3 linked regions of the Oryctolagus cuniculus genome follow. The protein of the gene in region 2 purifies or fractionates together with the protein of the main gene of each other region. This does not show direct contact. Links are inferred from orthologs where the notes say so. Each region holds a gene or a part of one and is shown on either strand. Other genes may lie near its edges. The genes, in order: ARID4A, SINHCAF and SAP30L.

The links.
Region 1: the proteins of SINHCAF (region 2) and ARID4A purify together in Homo sapiens (affinity purification with mass spectrometry; 3 studies listed by BioGRID and IntAct, counting the BioPlex papers as one, with this or other methods). This does not show direct contact. The link is inferred for Oryctolagus cuniculus from reciprocal best matches to the Homo sapiens genes SINHCAF and ARID4A.
Region 3: the proteins of SINHCAF (region 2) and SAP30L purify together in Homo sapiens (affinity purification with mass spectrometry; 3 studies listed by BioGRID and IntAct, counting the BioPlex papers as one, with this or other methods). This does not show direct contact. The link is inferred for Oryctolagus cuniculus from reciprocal best matches to the Homo sapiens genes SINHCAF and SAP30L.

Annotation. Positions count from the first base shown.
Region 1 is NC_091443.1:18,443,821-18,447,569, forward strand, and holds part of ARID4A (AT-rich interactive domain-containing protein 4A), read right to left. Parts: intron 1,666-3,749; coding exon 1,562-1,665; 3' UTR 1-1,561.
Region 2 is NC_091440.1:127,574,916-127,578,055, forward strand, and holds the end of SINHCAF (SIN3-HDAC complex-associated factor), read right to left. Parts: intron 2,796-3,140; coding exon 2,633-2,795; 3' UTR 620-2,632; downstream 1-619. UniProt on the Homo sapiens protein: Subunit of the Sin3 deacetylase complex (Sin3/HDAC), this subunit is important for the repression of genes encoding components of the TGF-beta signaling pathway.
Region 3 is NC_091437.1:41,395,519-41,399,169, reverse strand, and holds the start of SAP30L (histone deacetylase complex subunit SAP30L), read right to left. Parts: upstream 2,837-3,651; 5' UTR 2,213-2,836; coding exon 1,985-2,212; intron 1-1,984.

The sequences.
Region 1 (3,749 bases), on a different chromosome or scaffold from region 2:
GAATCTGAGTCACAAATTCACAATGTGGTAAAATGAAATTAAGAAACAATGATTTCAGTAATGCTATGTCATCACTAGTGTTTAGCTCTGACTTTGTTCTTGTAAATCAGATCCTGATATACAGTCTAGAGCATCTAGATTATTACTCTACAGCATATTAAACACAGAAAAGGAGGTTTAAAAAAAAACCCCTTCAATGTACAAACATGAATTTAAAAATCGCTTTTAAAAAATCACTTTTTTTTACATAAGATATATGCAAAACTGCTTAAATACATGATTTTGGAAGAATTATTTACAAAATGTATCAGTCTGTGGAACAATTCACAGACGAAGCATACATAGTTGCTTTACTTAGTTGTTGCATCTCAACTTTGGGAGATATAAATTTATTCGGCAGTACAGCAAACATAAAAACTGTGACAAAGTATCTTAAGGGCAACCAAAAATTTGATCCTCAAAACAGTTTAAATACTAGGACTGCCAAAGTCTCTAAACAAGGACATGCTTTACTGATCCAGATGCCCATTCATAGTTCTCTACTGTTTGAAGGACTGAGACAGACTCCCTTCAACCAGGCCAGGGACAGCTGAGAGCTACTGCCATCCAAAGAGTGAATTAACCTAGAATTTTCTTTTTTTCAATTTTATTAATATTTTAAAAAATACATAAAAATACAACATCCAATGTCTGAATAAATATATTTAACAAGTTGCAAGATAATACCTTATTTTACACAAAATTTTCAGCTTTAGAAATCTTGTTAAATAACTTCATTGTTGTTATATATTTCATTTTTGTCTTTTTGTAACAAAATAAAAACTCTGAAATTACATAGAAAAAAGACAAAATATTTTTGTCAAGGGATAAGATAGTCCACTGAAAACTTATTCACAATTCCACTGTAAACATTAATAAACATTAAAATATTTGCATAATTGTGTGCTCAAAAATCCTATAAAAAGTGGAAGACTTATTACAACTGTAGTTTTCAGTCAACTACACTTCCTTTCACAATTTATTTTGTCCCATTTACATCTTTAAACCTGGGCACACTGCTGAACATATACTTTGGCAGTTCTAAATAGCAAGTGCTTCCACAAAAATAAAAACAACAACAAAAAAATACAACATAAACCCCCTACTCACCAAGTGTTCAAACACATCTCAGTGAAAGTGCAACGGTAACTACTCAGCTGGATAATATTTTGATGTTTATCATGTGCACTTGCTTGTCTATGATTTCTATAACACCTGAAAGCTTTATTATACAAATTCAAATTTGCTAAGTGCCCTTTTTTCTCTATCACAAAAAATGAAAAAAAAAAGAAAGAGGAAAAGTTATGACAAATATGGCAGGCTGCCTAACCTTCGATTATTCATCTGCTTATTTGTTTTCAACAAGAAAAAAGGAAATAAGAAGGGACTAGGTACGATCCAGCCTGGAAGAATATAGAGGAGATACTTAGCAATGTCAAACCAGTTGAGTGCTTTCTGTGGTTGTGTCTCAGGGTTTGGGGATTTATGTCCATGGCAGCTGGGAAGGCAGAGGAAACATTTATCACCTGCACTCTACAGCAAGTACATTTTGTGGGGGTGATGAGGATGAGGGACTCATTCCAGTGTCTGATGAAGCAGATGACATGGAGGCTCCTGTATGAGACACTGTGGAAGCAAAACAACCGTGTTAGATTCAAAATCCATTACACCAAGATGCCTAACCAACAGCAACTAGGAAACAAAATTCTTAACATTCATTTCAATCATGGGCCTCCTAAATGTTGCATGAGAAATAAGCAAAGTTTCGGCAAACATTTTGATTGGCTCAATAGCATGCAATTCATCTTTGCTCCATTAAACAACTTAAAAGTTAAAAAAGAAATTTAAAAACACTGTAAAATGTGAAGCTTAAAGAGCAATAAACTCTGAAATCCCAACTTGGAAAATCCCAGTGAGGAACCTGGCTTGCCGCAAGTCAGAAACAAGGTCAAGCTGAGATAGATTCTCACGACAGGGAATGTCTGACTATGTTGAGGTCACAGGCCCCAAGAGTGCTCAATGCACCCAGACAAACCCCCCTGCTGTCAGGAATCGGAACCATGGTGGTCAGGATGGAGGTGCATGTGCGTGGCTAGGAAAAAAGTCCTGAAAAGTCTACCGTAACTCCCCAGGAATAGTAACACAGGCTAAGGGTTTATGTGTTGTGGACTTTGTCATTTTGTAGTTTCTGCTTTTATCATTTTTTTTTCTTAAAGATTTTATTTGACAGGCAGAATTAGAGACAAGAAAGAGGGAGAGACAGAAGTCTTCCACCCTCTAGTTCACTCTACAAATGGCTGCAACAGCTGGAGCTGGGCTGATCCGAAGCCAGGAGTCAGGAGCTTCTTCTGGGTCTCCCACACCGGTGCAGGGCCCAATTACCTGGGCCATCTTGCACTGCCTTCCCAGGCCACAGCAAAGAGCTGGTTTGGAATAGGAGCAGCTGGGAGTAGAACCGGTGCCCATGTGGGATGCTGGCACCGCAGGTGGAGGCTTAGCCTACTATGCCACAGAACCACCCCTTATCTTGTCTTTCCTCAAAACACACTCCTGTCTCTTGTCAATCTTTACTCAAACATTCCCAGTTATGTAAAGTTTTAACTTTGTTGATGTATATCTGTGGGTGTGGCTTCCAAGAAGACAAATTCCTATACGTATGCTAGAACTCTTTCAATGTAACATCCACTACAAAAAAGGAAACCAAAAGAGGAAGCCTATTAGAAGAACGCTTTTTGTTGTCTAAAACTTTAAAGAAATAAACCCCAAAGCAGTTGAGGATTCTCTGAAGAAATCTCAATTTGTTAATTTGCTCTTTTCTTCTTTTTTGTGTTTAAAAGTCCTAGGAAGACTTCTGGTTATTTAAAAAACAAACAAAAACTTGTAAAGGACAAACATGGGACGCCTGATCATTTTTTATCTGCTCCATCTTATTTCTTGCAATTAAATAAAGACCACTGGATGTGTAGTAGAATGATTGAAGACCACATCTGCTACATGTCACTCTATCAGTAACTCATCCCCGAAATACGCCTGGTTAGGCCTGTCAAGCAATTTACCTTTTATGTATTAGAGAGAGAGAGAGAGAGAGAGAGAGAGAGAGAGAGAGAGAGAGAACGAACGAACGCATGTATTCCAGCTCCCATCTGTTGGATCATTCCCCACATTCCCCAAATGCCCACAATGGCCAGGGCTGGGAAGCCCAAGCTGCAATTCGGGAATTCAATCCAGGTCTCCCAGGTGGGTGGCAGGAACCAAACCACTTGAGTTATCACGGCTGCTTCCCGGGGTCTGCATTAGTAGGAAGCTGGAAACAGGAGCTGGTACTAGGGGTCAAACCCAGGCATCCTATATGGGATGCAGGTTCTCTAACCACTTTCAACAGCTAGGCCAAATGCCCACCAGCCCTGTCATCATCTTTCTAAAAAGATTTTTTTAATTTAAGAGTTAGAGAGATGGGGGCTTGGGGGAGACAGGGAGAGAGAGGCCTTCCATTTGTTGGTTCACTCCCCAGATGGCCACAGTGGCCAAGGCCCTTCCATTTTTTTCAGAGACAGCCTTCCTGGAGCCCTTCTATCCTGTTTCTCCCTATTCCTGCCATGCGAGTGTTACCCCACAGCTCTTATTAACCGTCACCTTGAGAGTCAGTCCCCTTCATTATCTTCCTTGCTTGCTGGATCCATGTTGCCTCCTAGTTCCTAGCACCAGTACTG
Region 2 (3,140 bases):
TCAGGTCCTACCCGCTATGCAGAAAGAACCCCTGCTTCCAATCTTTGTCTCCCAGTCCCAGTGATAAAGACGGTTTGAACAAGCCTGGTTCTAGTCCTGGCTCCTCTGCCTCGGAGCCAGCTTCCTACTTACTAATGCATACCCTTGAGAGGCAACAGGTGACAGCTCAAGTGCTTGGGTTCCTGGTTCCTGGCTTTGGCCTGGCCCAGCTCTAGCTACTGGAGGCATCTGGGGAGTGAACTGGTGGACAAAGGATCTTGTCTGTCTTTGCCTTTCAAATAAAACATGAAAAATAAATAAAATGAAGGTCCCTGAAGTCTCAGTGAGGCTCCCCAGTCTGCCAATAAGAAAATCAAATCCCAGACAACAGCAAATCCACAGCACAGACATTCCCGGGAAGCTTGCTTCATCCTTGTTCAAACTGTCATATCACTGGGCTAACAGCAGTGCACCTTGGGTAAAATGTCCTTTATTCTAAAGTCTTTATTTTCGTGGGCCAAGAGGTTTTTTCCTCTTCCTGGCTTTGATAATACTGAGGACTCAGCTGGATGTTTTGTGAAAGCAAGACCACTGGTTGCTTACCAAAAACCTCTGAGAACAAAGCCATGAGACAGCTCCCTTTTATTTTCTATTAAGACTAAATTTATTCAATACCCTAGTAAAAGTTTTGATTATAAGTATCCAACAGTATAAAAAGTACAAAACAGATCTGTAGATGTCTAATATATTAATACAAAGTGCATGACTACACACAGTACGTCCTACAGGCAGAGAGGGGGCGGGGGAGAAGACGGTGGCTGAGGTCTAGCAATAAATAAATAAATACAGAAGTAGAGATGACCCACGTTATAGTATATTCTACCACCAGTACTGCAACCAACATGTACAAAAAAAGAAAAACAACAAAGCCATTTCGAAGTAACTCAGGATGGAGGATGATAACAGCTGGACCCTTGCGTCCCCTTTTGAGGCAGGGGGAGTCGGGGGTGTGTGGGGTCGGGAGCAGGCAGGCTTTTTCCCACAAGGGAGAAATGCAACCTGTTATGTTCAGACAAGAGCTAGCAGACTACAGGGCTCACTCCTCGGTTAGGCTACCCAAAACCTCAAACTCCAGTTCTAAAATTAAGCGCCAAGTCGCGGCACCGTAAGTGTGATGCTCCTTCTGCAGGGGGGGCGTCCGGACAGGGCTTTTTGTTTTTCCTGGACTTCTAGAAAAGAGGCAATGAGAACACTTTGGCGTGGATACAAGTGAGAAGCTTTAAAACTGAGGATCTCTTGGCCGGCGCCACGGCTCACTAGGCTAATCCTCTGCCTTGCGGTGCCGGCACACCGGGTTCTAGTCCCGGTCGGGGCGCTGGATTCTTTCCCAGTTGCCCCTCTTCCAGGCCAGCTCTCTCCTGTGGCCAGGGAGTGCAGTGGAGGATGGCCCAGGTGCTTGGGCCCTGCACCCCATGGGAGACCAGGATTGGAGGGTGAACCAACGGCAAAAGGAAGACCTTTCTCTCTCTCTCTCTCTCACTGTCCACTCTGCCTGTCAAAAAAAAAAAAAAAAAAAAATTACAAAGACCAGGATCTCACAAGTGGAGGGCCTACGGTCACATCTGGAGATCCAGAAAGCCAGACTAAAAAGTCAAAGCAAAGCCAATCTTAGTATTCACGCACGCCTCTGTCCTTTTACTCAATTTTACGTTAATTATAATGAGAAAAAAAACAAAAAAACCAGAAGCCCTAGGCAGCTACAAGAAGTTAGACGCCGGCTCAACTCTGGAAAAACCTTCGCAAAGGTCACAGGAGATAAAAGCCAGGGGCGAATGGAACGGCCCGGACTGGCAGCGAAGTAGCCCCCAGCCCCCAAGGCGAGCCCCCAGAGCAGCGTGCCTTCCCGCTGTTTCTCAACCAGCTGAGCCTGTTTAACCCGGGATCCGTGTTCCCCGGGGCGGAGCTCTGCCTCCGCTGTGGGACCTCGCGGAAATTAAAACCTGGACAAAACATGAACATGAGGGAGGTGACATGGATGCAACACATACAGCTAAGTGACCTCTCTCTCCGCTGAGAAGTTACCGTCTCCTGCCCGGGACGCGCTCCCGCTTTGTCGTCAGTAGTACGGGTTTGAGCCCCCAGATCCTGGGCCGGACCTCAGGATTCCAGCGCCAGGGGTCGGTCCTGTAACCGGGTTACCACCAATTTGCTGTCGAGAGGGAAAACAAGGGCCGCCAGCCAATGAGAAACTGCCCCAACCACTGCTTCTCAGTACAGAAAGACTACAACTACATACGGCTTATCATACAACAGATCCCATCTCTGTCCCCTGAAATTCCCCTAATTCCATTCATTAGAAGGGGATTTAATTAAAAAAAAAAAAAAAGACTTAAAGAGCACTTTACAGCAGCATTCAGCCTTCCTATGAGATCCTCAGCATCTTCAATATTATGTACACGCATTCTTTCTTTCAGGAAGCGAGACACTGGCTTCAGAACGTGTGGACCTGGGGAAGAACCCATTCAGAACTAGTCTAGGAATTGTCTTTTGGCAGAATAGCAGGTATCCGAGTGAAAACGTTAAGAGGGTCAGTTTGTCGCTTCGTGGTCTTCGCAGAATCTCTGCTGCTCTGCCGCCGGGCCGTGGGCGGCGGTCACCACTCCTGAGGGGCCCTGGGCAGCGGCTCGGGGCCCTGGGGCGCCGGCGAGGGCTCAGCGGCCGGCTTCTTGCTGTTGCAGCAAGGCTTGAAGAGGTGCGTGTCGATGAGCACTTCCCCAAAACGCCCCTTGTAGATGATCCCACAGCAGATCTTCTGCCTAAGAGGAGGGAAAGAGACGCAGACACATCAACAAGGGGGCCAGGGGAAACAGCATCTCCTCCTCCTCCTCCTCCTCGTAACCCGACCAGCGGGAGCATGGCGTCCCAGTCCTCCCACCCTACCCCTGTCAGCCAGGGGACGGGGGCCTCCCAGACCCCCTCCAGGCCTGCCCTGGAGTCATCTCCAGGAGGAAGGAGGACGGAGAGAGTTTGACACACAGCAGCCATCTTCAGCTGCCACTCAAGCTGTTAACTTTTCTCCAAAACTCACCAACTCCTACAGAAAACCAGCCCCCCAGGAACAGGTGGACCCAGCAGGTCGCTTTACTGTGCTTAAACACTGA
Region 3 (3,651 bases), on a different chromosome or scaffold from region 2:
ACTCCACAACACCATCTTGAAACCAATTGTAGTGACTCCACCTGAGAACTCTGTTCCTTCGAAGCATTACCTTCTGGGAAGGCTAGTGCTAAGCTGAGGCTTGCCTCTCTCCTGGAGGGCGCCTGTGCAATGATCAACACAGGTTTTCCAGTGGGGTCAATAGCTTAACAGAGCCCTAGCTGCAGGAGCAAAATCAGGTGTGAAGGCATATCTTTCTTTTTTTTTTTAAGGACTGGGTAATATTATAAGTTGCTTAGGTAAAAGCTTCTAACATCTATAGAGAAGACAGGGAGTATTTCCAAATGGATGAATTCACTGCTGTCCCACAATTAAGCATTTCACTGACACTTGACCTAATCAGGCACCACCAAGGTGTCTAGTCAGTCCTTTGTTCCAAAATGAGTATCTTTCATTCATTCAGATTTATAATAAGAAAGCCATTAACTTACCCCAGCAGCAGATGCATTATAATGACAAACATTAAATATATTAGAGGGAGGGAGGGAAAGGCCTAGAAGAAAGGATAGGGAAGACTTTTTATGAAAGACTTAACAGCCGGCACAGTGGCTTAGCAGGTAAAGCCTCTGCCTGCAGTGCCGGCATCCCATATGGGCATTAGTTGAGTCCGGGCTGCTCCACTTCTGATCCTGCTCTCTTCTGCAGCCTTGGAAAGCAGCGGAGGATGGCCCAAGTGCTTAGGCCCTTGTACCTCTGTGGGAGACATCGAAGAAGCTCTTGGCTTCGGATTAGCCCAACTCTGGCTGTTGTGGCCATTTGGGTTGTGAACCAGCAGATGGAAGACCTCTCTCCCTTTCTCTGTTTCTGCCTCTAACTCCGTATTTCAAATAAAATAAATAAATCTTAAAAAAAAAAAAAGACTTACTGAAGAAGTGCACATGGGGCTTGGAAGTAAACTAGATAATGTATTTAAGATACAAACCAGCCTCTGTGGTGCTCTGTGTATTTGGCACCAACCCTTCCTGTATCTGGGTTTCAGTGTCAACAATAAAATCTGAAGTGGAAAAACGGGCTTCCTCTAATTTTAACAAACCGTCTCTGATTTCCCTGAACTGTAGAGGAATTCTGGCCCCAAAAGAGAACGGATATTAACCACCTAAGCTCTTAGCTAGTCTACCTGCATGTTAAAACCCCCTTAACTCATTTCCAATTCCTAAACAAGAAGCAGCCGCAGCCACTTAAGGCTTGCAGCAACAGATGTCAAACCAAAAAGTTCTTAATTGGTTGACAATAGGCACAGCTTTAGAATTGTTAACTAGAAGTGGTGAAATCACAGAGGAAAAGTTTCCTATAATTAGGCACAAGGCAGGGCAAGCCTATTCAAATTTCAATCTCCATTTCCCACCTCCGCATTCCTAAAGGCGCTACCCCAAGGAAACCGAATCTCCCCACCTCGCCCCCTCCCCCGCCCACTCCCAGTGACTTGACTGTCAGTGCCATCTCCTAAGACCTGGTCGTGGCCTTATTCCTGCCATATCCTGGAAACACCCACTCCCAGAGTCGTAGCCTGAGAGGCGATCCTCTGCGGAAAAGGAGGCCGCGGGGGACAGGGAAGTCGCTGCTGCCACCTCTCCCAGTCTGAAGAAACAGCAGCGTTCTTAGAAGGAGCCAGAAGTTGGCCAACAGCCGGGTCCCTTCATCACCCCCTCCCCGATTCTTGCACCTTCGTGGGCCAACAAAATTAACCCACCTCCTCCTGCTCGAACATCTGAGCCAATAAAACGAGCTAGAAACTGCTGTCCAATCTTCCCCGGCAGGAGGAGTCCTCGCACCCCCCGCCCCCAACCTCCCGGATCTCAACAGAATCACAGCCAGGGCAGGTCCGCGCTTCAGCGGCCTCCGAAATCCCGCGGCCAGCTCCTCGGGCTGGCAGATGAGGGGCGGCGAGGCCGGCGGTGGGGAGCGCCCGGGGCGTCCCGGCCGCGGCCCGGGGCAGCACACAGCGAGCGGCAGGGCGCGGACTCACGCTCTTGTCGATGTCCAGCTTGAGTTTCTTCTGCGAGATGCTCTTCTGCACCCTCTTGCTGAAGGAGGCGTTGCCCGCGGGCCGGACGCAGCGCTCGCCGTCCTCGATGAGGCAGCAGCTCTGGCCGTAGCCCGGGGCGGCGGCGGCGGCGGCGGCGGCAGCGGCGGCGTTGGCGGCGGAGGCTGGGGGCCCTTCGCGGCTGTCCTCCTCGGTGCTGAAGCCGTTCATCTCCCCGCCCCGCGTCGGCCCCTCTGGGGGCAGGGCCCCCTGCAGGCCACTCCGCGGCCGCGCTCCCTGCGGAGCAGGTCGCCGAGACCCCCGCACCCGAGAGTCCCAGAGTCCGTCTCCAGACCAGGGCTGCCCTGCCCCGCGTCCCAGAGGCCCTGCTCCTGCAGCTCTCGGCCCCGAGTCTACGGAAACCCCCTTCCTCCTGGCCAGAGGCCCCGGGGTCGACTCCCGCGGCTCGCAGGGCCCCGCTGGGGGTCACCCGGAGGCCCCTCTTGCTGGGAGCTCAGAACCGCTACCCTGAGGCGCGGGCGTCCGGGAGGGCGTCCCAGGAAGCGGCCGCTCCCCAGGGACTCCGGGCCGGGGTTGCCAGGGGGTTTCGAAGGCCCCTGCCGGCTCCCGCCTTCTTTGGGCAGCGGGGCAAACTCGCTGCTGGGCAGCTCTCCCCTGGTGGCGCGGCCTCCCCGCGCGGGGCCCGGCCTCGAACCCGCGGCGCCCGGGCCCCCCGCGCCGCGTCCGGCCCGCCCCACCCCTGCAGCCTCTCGGCTGCTCCCCGAGTCCCGCGGCAGCCCCTGGGCGGCCCGGCCGCCGCCCGCCCAACGCGCCGCACCACAACAGTTCTCTCCCCCCCGCCCTCTTCGGGACAGCGGAAGTCCTGCCTCCGCACGCCTATTGGTCGCATTCGCTCTCAGGGCGGGGTCGTCGCCGCCGCTGGCGCGCTCCATTGGGCACCACTGCCGCCAGTCTCCGGCGCCAGGCTACTTCCTGGACTCTGCTGGGATGGGTTCAAAGTAGAGAAAGTGGAAGAGGGAAGAGTTCCTCGGGCGAGGGAGGGGAACTAGGGCGCAGATTGCCCAGCCCCAGGGAGGAATGATGACCAAGGGTCGGGAGGGACGGAGGGCAAGACTCCGAGAGCAGCGGAATGTATTCGGAAGCCGACAGAAGTACAGACGCGGGCGGGGGCGCAGAGGGACAGGCTTGGGGGAGGGGCGTGTGCGAGGAGACCTAAAGGGGATAGCGGTCCTGTCACGAGAGGAACCTACAGGGCACAACGACAGGGCCGGGGCCAGAGTCCCCCAGACCGACGTGGGGGTGAGGAGGCGAGGACAAAACAGGACAGAAGCCAGTCATGGCGGGAAAGACAGAGGGACAGCCCCGAACAGATACATGGAAAGAGATACCAAGGAGATGAGGGGGGCGATCTTGTCGGGATCTTGGGGGTGCCGGAGACGTGAGACTGTGGAGATTGGCTGGGACGGCACGGAAAGAAAACGGGCGGGAGGAAGGAGGGCCCCGGGGGCTTGGGCGACCCCTCTACGGGAAAGAACCTGCAATCCGGGTAAGGTCCGGAGGGTGAGCCGGGTGAAGAGGGGCTGCCGAGGAGATGAAGAAATGGCTGGAAGTGGCCGACCAAGGGTCACTCCCGGGACCAGGTGAGGAAG